Linked DNA regions of Oryctolagus cuniculus. The main gene of each other region encodes a partner of the protein of the gene in region 2 in a complex. Links are inferred from orthologs where the notes say so. Each region holds a gene or a part of one and is shown on either strand. Other genes may lie near its edges.

The links.
Region 1: the proteins of NTRK2 (region 2) and NTF4 are in contact, whole or in part, in a crystal structure (PDB 1HCF), measured with the Homo sapiens proteins. The link is inferred for Oryctolagus cuniculus from reciprocal best matches to the Homo sapiens genes NTRK2 and NTF4. Residues at the interface, in NP_001018074.1 of Homo sapiens: Phe291, Glu293, Thr296, Ser297, Asp298, His299, Cys302, Pro304, Thr306, His335, Val336, His343, Gly344, Cys345, Asn350, Thr352, His353, Met379, Gly380, Trp381, Pro382, Gly383; in NP_001382418.1 of Homo sapiens: Gly81, Val82, Ser83, Glu84, Thr85, Ala86, Ser89, Arg90, Arg91, Gly92, Glu93, Leu94, Ala95, Asp98, Ala99, Ser101, Gly102, Trp103, Thr105, Tyr135, Phe137.

Annotation. Positions count from the first base shown.
Region 1 is NC_091449.1:8,249,063-8,253,682, reverse strand, and holds the end of NTF4 (neurotrophin-4), read right to left. Parts: intron 3,763-4,620; 5' UTR 3,640-3,762; intron 3,519-3,639; 5' UTR 3,260-3,518; coding exon 2,519-3,259; 3' UTR 1,902-2,518; downstream 1-1,901. UniProt on the Homo sapiens protein: Target-derived survival factor for peripheral sensory sympathetic neurons. May promote ameloblast differentiation and subsequent reduction in proliferation of ameloblasts.
Region 2 is NC_091432.1:135,546,663-135,553,324, forward strand, and holds the start of NTRK2 (BDNF/NT-3 growth factors receptor), read left to right. Parts: upstream 1-2,487; 5' UTR 2,488-2,893; intron 2,894-3,777; 5' UTR 3,778-4,085; intron 4,086-4,556; 5' UTR 4,557-4,940; coding exon 4,941-5,152; intron 5,153-6,176; exon of another isoform or gene 6,177-6,231; coding exon of another isoform or gene 6,232-6,254; intron 6,255-6,662. UniProt on the Homo sapiens protein: Receptor tyrosine kinase involved in the development and the maturation of the central and the peripheral nervous systems through regulation of neuron survival, proliferation, migration, differentiation, and synapse formation and plasticity.

The DNA of each region.
Region 1 (4,620 bases), on a different chromosome or scaffold from region 2:
GCGCTGTCCCGCGCTCGGCTACCTGCGAAGGGCCCCCGCAGAGGTGGTCGGCGAGCTCCAGGGGCTGCGGCACGCCGGGCGAGGGGGCGCGCAGCGGCGCGGGGAGCCAGCCCGGGTACTTCGCTTTCGTCTCGCTCTGGATCTCGGCGGTCCCCGCCAGGTGCCAGCCGTGGTGTCTGAGCTGTAGAGAGGCGACCCAGGCACCCGACGTAAGGGCGCGGGGGGCGCACGTGCCCGGCCCTGCCGTCTCCAGCGCCCCAGGACCTCACCTTTTCTCCTAAAGACTTGATCCCCAAGGTGCGCGTGGGGTCCGCGGGCTCCGGGGCCCGGGCCTGCGCCAAGGGCCCACCGTGAGTCTTGCGCACGTGCGCCGAGCCCGAGGTTGTCTCCCATGTGTTAAAGACTTCGTCGAAAGCCCCGATGGGCCAGTCCTGCTTCGCGGCCGGGGGCAGGGGCCCCGCGACTGTGCACTGGGGAGACGGCGCCGTTCGTCGGCTCAAGACTCGGGGCTCCGCTCCGCTCCGCCCTCTTCCCCTCGGTCCGCGGCCCTTCCCCGCGCCACTCCCTGGCTCCCAGGTTCCCCGCTCCTCTCTCAGGGTGGATTACGAGGACGAGCCCCCAGGCCCCTTCTCAGCACCCAGCTTTCCGGATCCCAGGCTCGCCCTCCAGCGGGGGTCGGCTCACCTGCACGCTGGGCGGGGGGAAGGGCAGGGAGGGGATGTGGTGGTGCGCAACGCCGCTGCTGGTGAGATGCCAGCTGGGCCAGGACCCAGGCACCTCAGTTCCGGAGATGGGGGACCATGGGGGGCCGTAGCGCAGCGCCAGGGTCCGCCCAGCCATGACCCACCCCGACCCAGTAGCCAAGCGGGAGCAGGCTTGTTGTTGCTGTTGCCACAGGTGACAGAACCCGCCCACTCGGAGCCTAGCCAATGAAAGGGCCCGCAGGCAAGTGGATGGGCAGAGCGAGACAGAGGTCTGGGGACTAGGGGCAGAGATCCCTAGAGGGGCACAGAACGGGGCTGGCGTGGGGGTGCGAAAAGGGAGATGAGGGGGAGACAGACCCCAGCGAGGGGGCAGCAGAGGGAGGGGGAGAGGCCTGGGAGGGCCAGGAGGCACAGACCGCAAGAGAGGCAGAGACCCTCCCTGAGCCCACCAGGGTCTCTGAGAACCCGGCTCTCCTGTGGGGCACAGCCCCTCCCGGCTGCCTCCTCCCTCTGCCAGGCCGGCCCACTCCCCCGGGGTAACGATTTCCAGACGCCCCAGGACCCTCCCATCTGCCCTGTGCCTGCAGAAGGAGCCAGCGTCGCCGGCCTGCCTTTGATTTGGTTGAAAACTTCCACCTGGATGTGTGTGTGTGTGTGGGGGGGACGAAAAGGGAGAGACCTGCAGAAAGTTGAAATACAAAGGGAAATACCCCACCCAACAGAGAGAGAAGGACCTGGCCAGGGCAGGCAGGCAGCTACCGACCCAGAGATGAGAGACTCAGGAAGTTAGAGGGACAGGGAGCAAGGTGGCAAAAAAAAAGAAAAAAAAAAAAAAAGGCACATGGGACCCACAGGATCTAGAGGAAGGCCATGCAGGAAGAGACAGCCGGGCCTGGGGGCCGGTCTGTGTAGGGGGGAAGCTGCGTGTGTGGCAGACAGGGGTGTTGGAGCCACAGGAAGGGGCACCATTCGGAGGGGGGGGAGTCTGTCCCACAGCTTTGGGGGCAGTCTCCGTCTCTGCGGCCCTCCCGCAGCCTGGCACACACCTCCCCCCCAACCCCTGCCCCGTTCAGCCCGCTGGCTCCTGTTGGATTTTCTCAGCCCTATTCAAAGGCCTCGGTGTCGGCTGAGCCCCGATCCCAACCAGGGCGCAGGCCGACTGGTCGGAACCCCGTGTCCTGCTCCAACCAGACAGTGTCAAGTGTGTATAGTGTTTCTTCCCCAGTGCGGGGTGAAGGTTGGGACAGGGAATGGGGGCAGAAACCTGACTCCAGCCCTCTGCGCAGGGGTGACCTCCCCAGCAGCCTGGCCTTGCCCAGGCCCTGTGATGGGAGGCTCACTACCTCAAAACTGACAACTGCCCCCTCGCACGGAGCACAGTTTCTCGTCTGAATCCCCGCCCCCAGGTACTGAGGTGCCATGCTCTCCAGGTGCTGGCCCTGTGTCCCGGGCTCTCCCCTCCCCCATCCACTTGTCCCTCCTTCCCAGGTGGGCAACCCAGTGTCCTCTGAGACCGCAACTTAGAACCGAGGGTCTCTGCCGGTGGGATCCTCAACAGCTGATGCGAGGGCATTGGCTCGGTGGGCATTGGCTGCTTTCACTGTGAATCCCCTCCGTCCCTCCAGGAGGACCCGAACCCATCCTCGGGACTCCGTGTGGTGTCATCACTCCTCCCACAGCTGTGATTTTGCCGCCATTCCGGCAAGTTCCCAAACGCAGGCCCTTGAGCAAGCCAGACCGCCCCCGAGGTCCCTCCGCACAGATCCAGTTCTCTTCGCTCTCTCCTCCGCCTGGCCGGTTCCTGGGCTCCGGCCTCAGGCCCGGCCACCCCGGCTGAGCAGGGTACAGACACAGGCAGTGTCGATTCGGATCCATCGCCAGCCCACGCGGCCCTGGGCATCAGCGGTCAGCGCCCGCACGTACGACTGTTTGGCCTTGCACTCGGACACCCAGTGCCTCCGGTCCACACCTCGGCAGCCCCCGCCTTCCCCGGCGCCCTCAGCTTTGCAGCGGGTCTCGAAGAAGTACTGGCGCAGGGGACTGCCGCCCGCCGCAGGCACCTCGCCCAGCACCTCCACCTCGCGCCCGCGCAAGTCCACGGCCGTCCGGCGGTCGGTCACCCAGCCACTGACCGCGTCGCACACGGCCAGCTCCCCCCGGCGACTCGCTGGTGCCGTCTCGCTCACCCCACGCCGACTGCGGTTGGCCGGGGCGCTGGCCGGCTCTCCGAAAGCCCCGGCCTCCAGCAGGAAGAGCAGAGGGGGCCCCGAGGGCGTGCCCCTGGACAGGGCTACCCGGGGGGACAGGAGGTCCCACTCAGGGGCCAGAAACGGGGGCAGCGTCGAGGGCGGGGGATGGGGCTCCACTGGGACACTGGGGAGGAGGAAGAGGAGGAGGAGGACAGGGAGGGAGCACGCGAGGTGGGGGAGCATCTCTCGGAGCACCTGAAGACAGAGCGAGGGGGCTGGGGTGAGAGGAGGAAGGAGACACCTTCCGGTCCTGCCGCGGCCCCAGGGAGCCCCTTCCCTCCCTCGGGACGCTGGATCCATCATCATTTTCCAACCGCCATTCCTTAATTCCCAACAAGGCGGGGGAATGCAGGCTCAGAGAAGCCAGACTTGCCCCAGATCCCACAGCACCAGAGAGGGGACTGGAACCCCGTCTGGGTCGCTCTACTCTAGCCTCCGTGCCCCCAAGGACACCCGAGGCCCGCAGCGTGGAGGACAGGCCGCCGTCCGGAGTCCCGGAGAGACCCGAGTTCAGTCCCACACTGCTGCTAACTTCCCTCCTGGGGGCGGGGGCGCCTCAGCCTCCCTGTGGGAGACGGACCGGGCAGGGGCGTGGTACCCCAGTTTCTCCACCACATCCTAGAAGCCTGTGGCTCTGGGAAGGGGTGGCGTGGGGAGGGCTGGGAAGCAGCCGCTGGCGACCAGACCTGTCAGCACGTGCTCCACCTCCGAGCTCCCGGGCCGGGGGCCCCCAGGCTCCAGGGGGCCCCTGTGGAGGACACAGCTGGCCCCTTCCTTCCTGACATCTCAGCAGAGGGAGGGGGCAACCCCTGGGGGAAGAAGCAGACAGGCAGGTGAAGCAGGCAGGTGGGGGGAGTGGGCCTGGGCCCCTGATCACCCTCTTCTCAGGGTACCCAGGAGCCAAGGCCCTGCCCCCTTCCCAGAGGCCCCCTTCCCTGGCCCAGGTGATGGCTCCTGGCTGGGATGGGAAGCAGATGGGCGCAGGGGAGAAGCGGGAAGGGGGGCGGCGGCAGATGGAGGAGGCTGGGAAAGATTACATTCCCCTCGGCCCATCCATCTCCCAGACGGGGCGCAGGCGGGGCTGGCCTGGACGCCCGGGTCCCCCAGGGCCCACACTTGAGAAGCCCTGGGTCCCAGAGACTTCCTGGAATGTTCCCTCCTCACAGGACAGGCCAGGGCGCGCCCAAGACTTCTGCACATACCTGGAGTGGCTGCCTGCCCTGGCCAGGAGGTGGGGAAGCCGCCGGCCGCGTGTGAAGAGAACAGGCCGACCCAACGACCCAACCATGGACAGGGAGTGCAGTCCCCAGCACCTCCTCCTTCCCACCTGAGAGCCCTGGGCCCCCAGCCCCTCCTCCCTCAGACCCAGGAGTCCCAGCCCCTCCTCCCTCAGACCCAGCTGCCGGGGGGTCCCCAGCACCTCCTCCCTCAGACCCAGCAGTCGGGGGTCCCCAGCCCCTCCTCCCTCAGACCCAGCTGCCAGGGTCCCCAGCACCTCCTCCCTCAGACCCAGCAGTCGGGGGTCCCCAGCCCCTCCTCCCTCAGACCCAGCAGTCGGGGGTCCCCAGCCCCTCCTCCCTCAGACCCAGCAGTCGGGGGTCCCCAGCCCCTCCTCCCTCAGACCCAGCAGTCGGGGGTCCCCAGCCCCTCCTCCCTCAAATCCAGTT
Region 2 (6,662 bases):
GCTCTGCTGTGTGCCTGAGAAGGACCCTCTGATGCTCTCCACATTTCTCTCTGTGCAAAGCCCGCCTCCCTGCTTCTCTGCCCTGTGAACTCTGCTCTCTGTACGTGCTCTTAACTCGCTTATATCTGCACAATTCAGGGAGCTGTGTGCCGACTGGGTTCTCTCTATCTGAGCCATACCATCGATCTATGATAACTGTCTTAAAAACGATTGCTACTTATATATATATATATATATTTAACATTTATTTATTTGAAAGTCAGAGTTACACAGAGAAGGAGAGGCAGAGAGAGAGAGAGAGAGAGAGAGAAAGATCTTCTACCTGCTGGTTCACTCCTCAGATGACCGAAAGGGCCAGAGCTGTGCTGACCTGAAGCCAGGAGCCAGCAGCTTCTTCTGGGTCTCCCACGTGGGTGCAGGGGCCCAAGGACTTGGGCCATCTTCTGCTGCTTTCCCAGGTCATAGCAGAGAGCTGGATGGGAAGTGGAGCAGCCGGGACTCGAACTGGCACCCATATGGGATGCGGGCACTGCAGGTGGTGGCCTAACCCACTATGCCACAGTGCCAGCCCCTTGTGTATGGGTTGTGATGTAAAAGGCATCTTGTAACATGGACGATGGTCAGGTTGTTACAGAAACACTGGACTAGGTGCATCATGGTTCAGTCCAGGGTGCAGCCTGCAGTCCATGCCTGCACTGAAGGGATCTGGGGGAAATGATTTCTATTTTATATTCCTATGCATATGCAAATTATATCCATATGCAAAGTGCTCATCTGCCACAAAGCTATGATCTGAGAATCCCCACAATGATCTTTGGGGAATACACAGTAGGCTTTGCAGCTGAGATTCATCTATGAGGGGCCAGCACTGTGGCGCAGCGGGTTAAAGCCCTGGCCTGCAGTGCCGGCATCCCACAAGGGCGCCGGTTCAAGTCCTGCCTGCTCCACTTCTGATCCAGCTCTCTGCTATGGCCTGGGAAAGCAGTAGAGGATGGCCCAAGTCCTTGGGCCCCTGCACCAGCGTGGGAGACCAGGGAAAGGCTCCTGGCTCCCAGCTTCGGATGGGTACAGCTCCGGCAGTTGCAGCCAGTTGGGGAGTGAACTAGTAGATGGAAGACCTCTCTCTCTCTCTCTCTTTCTCTCTCTCTCTTTGTTTGTGTCTCCTTCTCTTTCTGTATTTATTTCAAATAAATAAATAAAATCTTTAAAAAATAAAAAAATAAAAATAAAGACACTGGCCAGCCACATCAGGCTGCCCATTTGAGTCCATCAGCTTCTGATCCAGCTTCCTGCTAATGTGCCTGGGAAGGCAGCCAAAAATGACCCAAATGCTTGAGTCTCTGCCATCCACCTGGGAGACCCGGACTCTTGGCTTCTGTTTGGGCCAATGGTGTGTTTTCTGGCCATCTAGGGGAGTGAACCTGTGGATGGAAAATATCTCCGTCTCTCCTCTGTCATTTGCCTTTTAAACAATCAAATAAATATTTTAAAAAAATATTCATAGGCCTTAAAAAACAAAAAAGACCAAGTACCTACTGTGGACAAAGGAGTAGAGCAGGTAAGGGTGATTGGAAGCAGGACCACCAAACTTTTAGTGCGAGATATTCATCGGGATCCTTTAGGATATAAACATTAACAGGTATTCTATGCCCATCCTAATACAAATTCGGCCAACAGCCCAGCATCATTAACAATCTCTGGTCCACAGCTCACGCTGAAGGGGTCCATCCTCGTAGATGCTGCATCTACATCCCCCGGCCACTAGGGCGCAAAGGGGGCCCTTTCCGAGAAAAACAGGGCTGGGGGAACGACGTGGGGACCGCAACCACCCACACTCCCCTTCCCCGAGCGCCTCGCGTGGAAGACACCAGCAGCACAGGCGCAATGCTTATTGCGCGACCCGGCCAGGACAGACACCTTTGCCCTGTGGCCTCCCATCCGTGGCGATGGAGGCCGAGCGCGCTGCGGGGCTGAGGTTCGGCGCAGCCTTTCGGCGGCACCCAGGCGTGCCCAAGCCCAGAGACGACGCTGGGGCAGCCCCGCTCGCCTTGTCTTGCGGGGCCGGGGCCGGGGAGGGGGCTGCGGCGAGACTTCTGGGTGCTGCGAGCGCGAGAATTCTCGCGGTTACGCTCAGTGGCCCGGGATCCGCACCCCCCCCCCCGCCCCCAGCTTTAGGTGACTTGTTCTGTGTTAAGGCGGTGCCAAAAGATCCGAGCACTCCCTGTCACTGTCAGTGTCTCGGGCCTTTCCAGCCCAGGCCTGTGCCGGCAGATCCGTGATCGCTCTAAACGTCTGGGAAGAGACCACCTGCGGTCGCCCTCTCGCGCGCTCTCTCTCTAGCGCGCGCGCGCGGGGACCCTGCTCGCCTTTCTCCCCGGCTGCAGCAGCAGCAGCAGCAGCAGCTGGACGAGGTCGGGCGAGCATCTCACGGGCAGAGGGTCCGAGCCGCGCACGCGTCGGGCGCCGCCGGCTGCGCATCGGGCGCCTGAGCGCGCCCCCAGCGCTGCGCCCGCCGCGACCGCGGCCGTGGGCTGGCGCTCTCTCCCCGCGCGGGGGCACCAGAGCCCTCGCTAGTGTCAGGCACTGCGGTGCATTTTTTTCCCAGTTCCCTTTTTTTAAATGACTGCGGAAAAAACGGAGTCTCCGAGCCGCAAATGGGAAGACGGATTCTCAAACCAGGTTTGCGAATGGCCCGCAACCATCCTTGAACTGCGCCCGCGGAGCAGTTACGGGTGGGCACCGACCCCGCCGGATCGCCTCACTTGTCCCTAGTGAGCCCCCGAGGCTCTGCCCGCACCGGGCTTCTCTGTAGCTGGATGCATACCGTGCTCCGAGCGGCGCGGGCGCAGGGCACGCGTTCGTGCACCCCCGCGCACACCCGCACACGCGCAAGGTACGGCAGGGGCGCGCGGGCTCGGGGTGCCCCGCGTGGGGGTGGGTCTCGTGGGGGAGTGAAGCGACGGTCTGGGAATGGCTGCGGCCAGCCAGGTGGAAGCATGAGAGAACATGACGCGGCGCCAACGCATCGGACAGGCCGGCGTGGCTGCCGCGCAGTTACGGAGCCCAGCGCGCCACTCGCGTTCCCTACCTCTCACACGTCTCTCCCGAGCGTGTGGTGGCAGAAAACCCCAGGAGAAAGACCCCCCACTTAGGGAGCTCCGGTTGTGTTTGGAGACCACCCCACCTCCCCCTTCAAAAGCACCAAGGAGAAGACCTCATCCCCCCACTCCCTCCCCAAACAACCCATCCCCAAATAGGTGACCCGGAAGGGGGGGGGGGGCGCTGATCCTTGGCTCCCCGAGCAGAGCAGGTCCTGGCGTTGACAGCTGTGCATTCCGTGCTAGCGGAGCTCGCCGACCCTTTTTGGGTAGGGTGGGCAAAGGAGAACGCAGCAGGGTTGGAGAGTGGGGGATTCCAACAATAAGCATCAGCGCATTTTTTTTTAATTTAATTTTATTTTTTCAGAGCGGAACCCAGCCCTGTCCCCCGTCTACAAATGGGAGACGGACGGCCTCTGTAGGAGGGTCGGGGACCCGGAGGCGTCGAACCGCGGCGCGGCGCGGCCCGCGCACGCGCGCGTCCCCACGGCAGGCTGTGCGCGCGTGTGTGCGCGCCTGTGCGGGCTCCCACCGGCTGCTTGCGCTCGGCTCCTGGCCGGCGGCGCCGGTGCCTCCCTCCCCGCGCCCGCCCCCAGATTCCCCTCCCTTCCCCGTGGCTTTTGTCTGGAGGGTGTGATGGGCTTGTGTGTGTATGAGCGTGTGTGTTTTTGGATTTCAGACTAATTTTCTGGAGTTTCTGCCCCTGCTCTGCGTCAGCCCTCACGTCACTTCGCCAGCAGTAGCAGAGGCGGCGGCGGCGGCGGCGGCTCCCGGAATTGGGTTGGAGCAGGAGCCTCGCTCGCTCCCTGGCTCGCGGCGCTCGCGGCGCTCAGTCCCCCGGCGGCAGCGGGGAGCCTGGACCCTGGACCCGGGCGCCGCCGGCGGGCGTGAGGCGCCGGAGCCCCGGTGAGCAGCGCCTACACTCACTGCCCTCCCGTCGCCTCGGCCCTCGCCGCCCTCCCCGGGGCGGCCGCAGCTGCTGCCCAGGTGGGACGTGCCGCGCCACCTGCCCGCGCCCCCGCCCCGGCGCCCGGCAGCAGCCGCGACAGATTCTGCAGCATCATTCGGGGGGCCCCGTCGCGGAGCCATCGCTGCCAACAGTGGCCGCGTCCCCCCCCCACCCCCGCGAAAGGGTCCCCCACCATCCTCCTCCCCCCCAACCCGGCCTGTGCCATGGCATCTTGTCTCAGGGACCCTTTCCCCGCCTCTCGTCCCTTGGCCTCAGCATTGAGGGAAGAGAGGGTGGGCGTGTTGGCGGCCCCAGCGGCGTCCGTGCCATCCCCCCCGGGGCAAGCCGATTCCCAGGCCAGAGCAGGGCGCTTCCCACCCCGTCCACAGTCTCGGGGCCGGGGTCGGGGTTGGGGTGCGGCGAGCGCGGAGGGAGAGTGCCCCAGCCCCCAGGGCGTGCGTGCGTGGGGCCCAGCGCCCAGGCTTACGCGCGTGTCTGTTTGTCCTCAGCCCCGGAGCGGCCCCGCGCGCGCCTAGCAAGGAGCCTGCGCCCGGAGACAATCCCCGGGAGCGCCGCCGGCCGGTGCCCCGCACGCCCCGGGCCATGCAGCGGCGGCCGCAGCGGAGCTCGGAGCGGCGGTAGCGCCCCCTGGGAAGCGGCCTGTGATGCCCCGGCCGCTGTGAACGGTGCTGCCCGCGCCAACACTTCCCGGAGCCCCGGCCACGCGGAGCCTCGGACACGCTCGACTCTGCGCGCCCGCAGCTGGCACCGAGGAATCCCGGAGAGCGGCGAGCGCGGGCAAGGCCTCCCCGCACGGGCGGCGGAGCGGGGAAGCCTGCCGCCGGTGCAGCTCGGGGACCCACACTTGGGCTTAACCCCCTAGGCGGCTGGGGATGTCGCTGTGGACGAGGTGGCATGGACCCACCATGGCGCGCCTCTGGAGCTTCTGCTGGTTGGCGCTGGGCTTGTGGAGGCCCGCTGTCGCCTGTCCCGCGTCTTGCACGTGCAGTGCCTCTCGGATCTGGTGCAGCGACCCTGTGCCCGGCCTCATGGCGTTTCCCAGGCTGGAGCCCAACAGTGCAGACCCGGAGAACATCACCGAAATGTGAGTTCTTTGCTCTCCTCGAACCGCCCCCCCTCCACCATGGGCTCACTGGCAGGGTGGGTCCGGGCCAGGTCGTGGTGCTGGGCCATTGCCCCGTTACCTGTCTTATTTCCCCCAGCGGGAGCCTGTCTAGCACGGGCGAAGTGGGACACTTTCAGATAAGTTTTTAGGTATATATGTCAAGCTTATTTTTTAAAAAATCTATCTATCTATCTATCTATGCACTTATATTCCCGGTGGGAAGGCATCCCATAAGGTATTTTATATTCCAAAGCTGTGCTGGGCTGTGCTTTGGCTTTCCCCTTTGCTGTAAGTTTGCTTTGGACGCCTTTAATTCATGGAGCGCCACTGGGACGGTGTGTTAGGCAGGGTCCCAGAAATATGCATGAGAAAGGAGGTGAAAATTATGAAGTTTCTGACGTCTCCGGGAGTCTCTTGCCTTCACCTCTTTCTCTGAGGGTTGGAGCTCATCAGTTTCCCTTTGGAATCTCCTGGAGCAGAGATGGCCTTGCAAATGATCTGTAAGAGGAGAAGTCCTGAGTGTGGAGTGCGGTCCTTGGGAGCCTGAGAGCCTTACTCTGGTTTAATTTGGAGCTGATTGTTTTTTCTTTCCCAGAGACCATTTGGGTCGGGAATCTTAATTGCCCATGGAATAAGCCCCTAGGTTGGACCAGAAAGCAGGGTGTAGTCTTTGATGAGTGCTGTCTCCCACCTGGGGCCCTGGAAGAGTCTGACTGCATGGGGCAGCAGAGATGTGTGTTTCTGTCCCCTCCCTACCTGGCTCCCGAACAGGAGCTCACCGGTCCTGTCGCCTGCTGTCCTGTGCCTACCTCTCCTAGCAATGGATGGCGCTTTACCATGGCCAGTGTTTTGTGACCCCGAGGTTTCATCTGTCCCCTGGAAGGGAGAGGGAGGCAAAGTTTGTGCCGGTTTTCCTGACCGAGGCTGGTGTTCAGCCTTTGAGGAGGGCTCGGGCTGTGGCCTTCCGGTTGGCGAGTGCGCATGCATGTTCCCCCACCCCCACCCCCACCCACCCCACACACAGAACAGGCACAACCATGGTTCCTGCAGCCTAGGTGATGGAGATAACCTGTTTTGTACTGTAAGTAAGAGACCGGTCTGGTCCCCGTTGCCTGTTCCGCTGGTAACGAAAGGCCCAGGGCTGAAACCACAAGACAGCTTAGTCTTCTTGGCATAGTGCTCAGCGGCCAGGCAGGAGAGGAAGGGTAGGGCCCCCACTGTGCTGGCCCTGCGCCGGGCCCAGTCAGGGTTCAGCAGGCTGAGCCAAAGTGTCTGTGGCCTTTGTCGGAATCGGTGTGTCTTTCTCAGGAGATGGGGTGTCAGGAGTCAGATGGAGGGGGCCGCACAGAGTTCAGATATTCGCAGTGTGCATGGACACAGTTAGTACTATTCTTAGTACTATTCTGTTTTGCTTTTGGTGTGGTTGGTTTTGAAATCCTGTATAAGATGATAGATGTATAATGAAAGAAATGAGATAGGGTTAATCAAT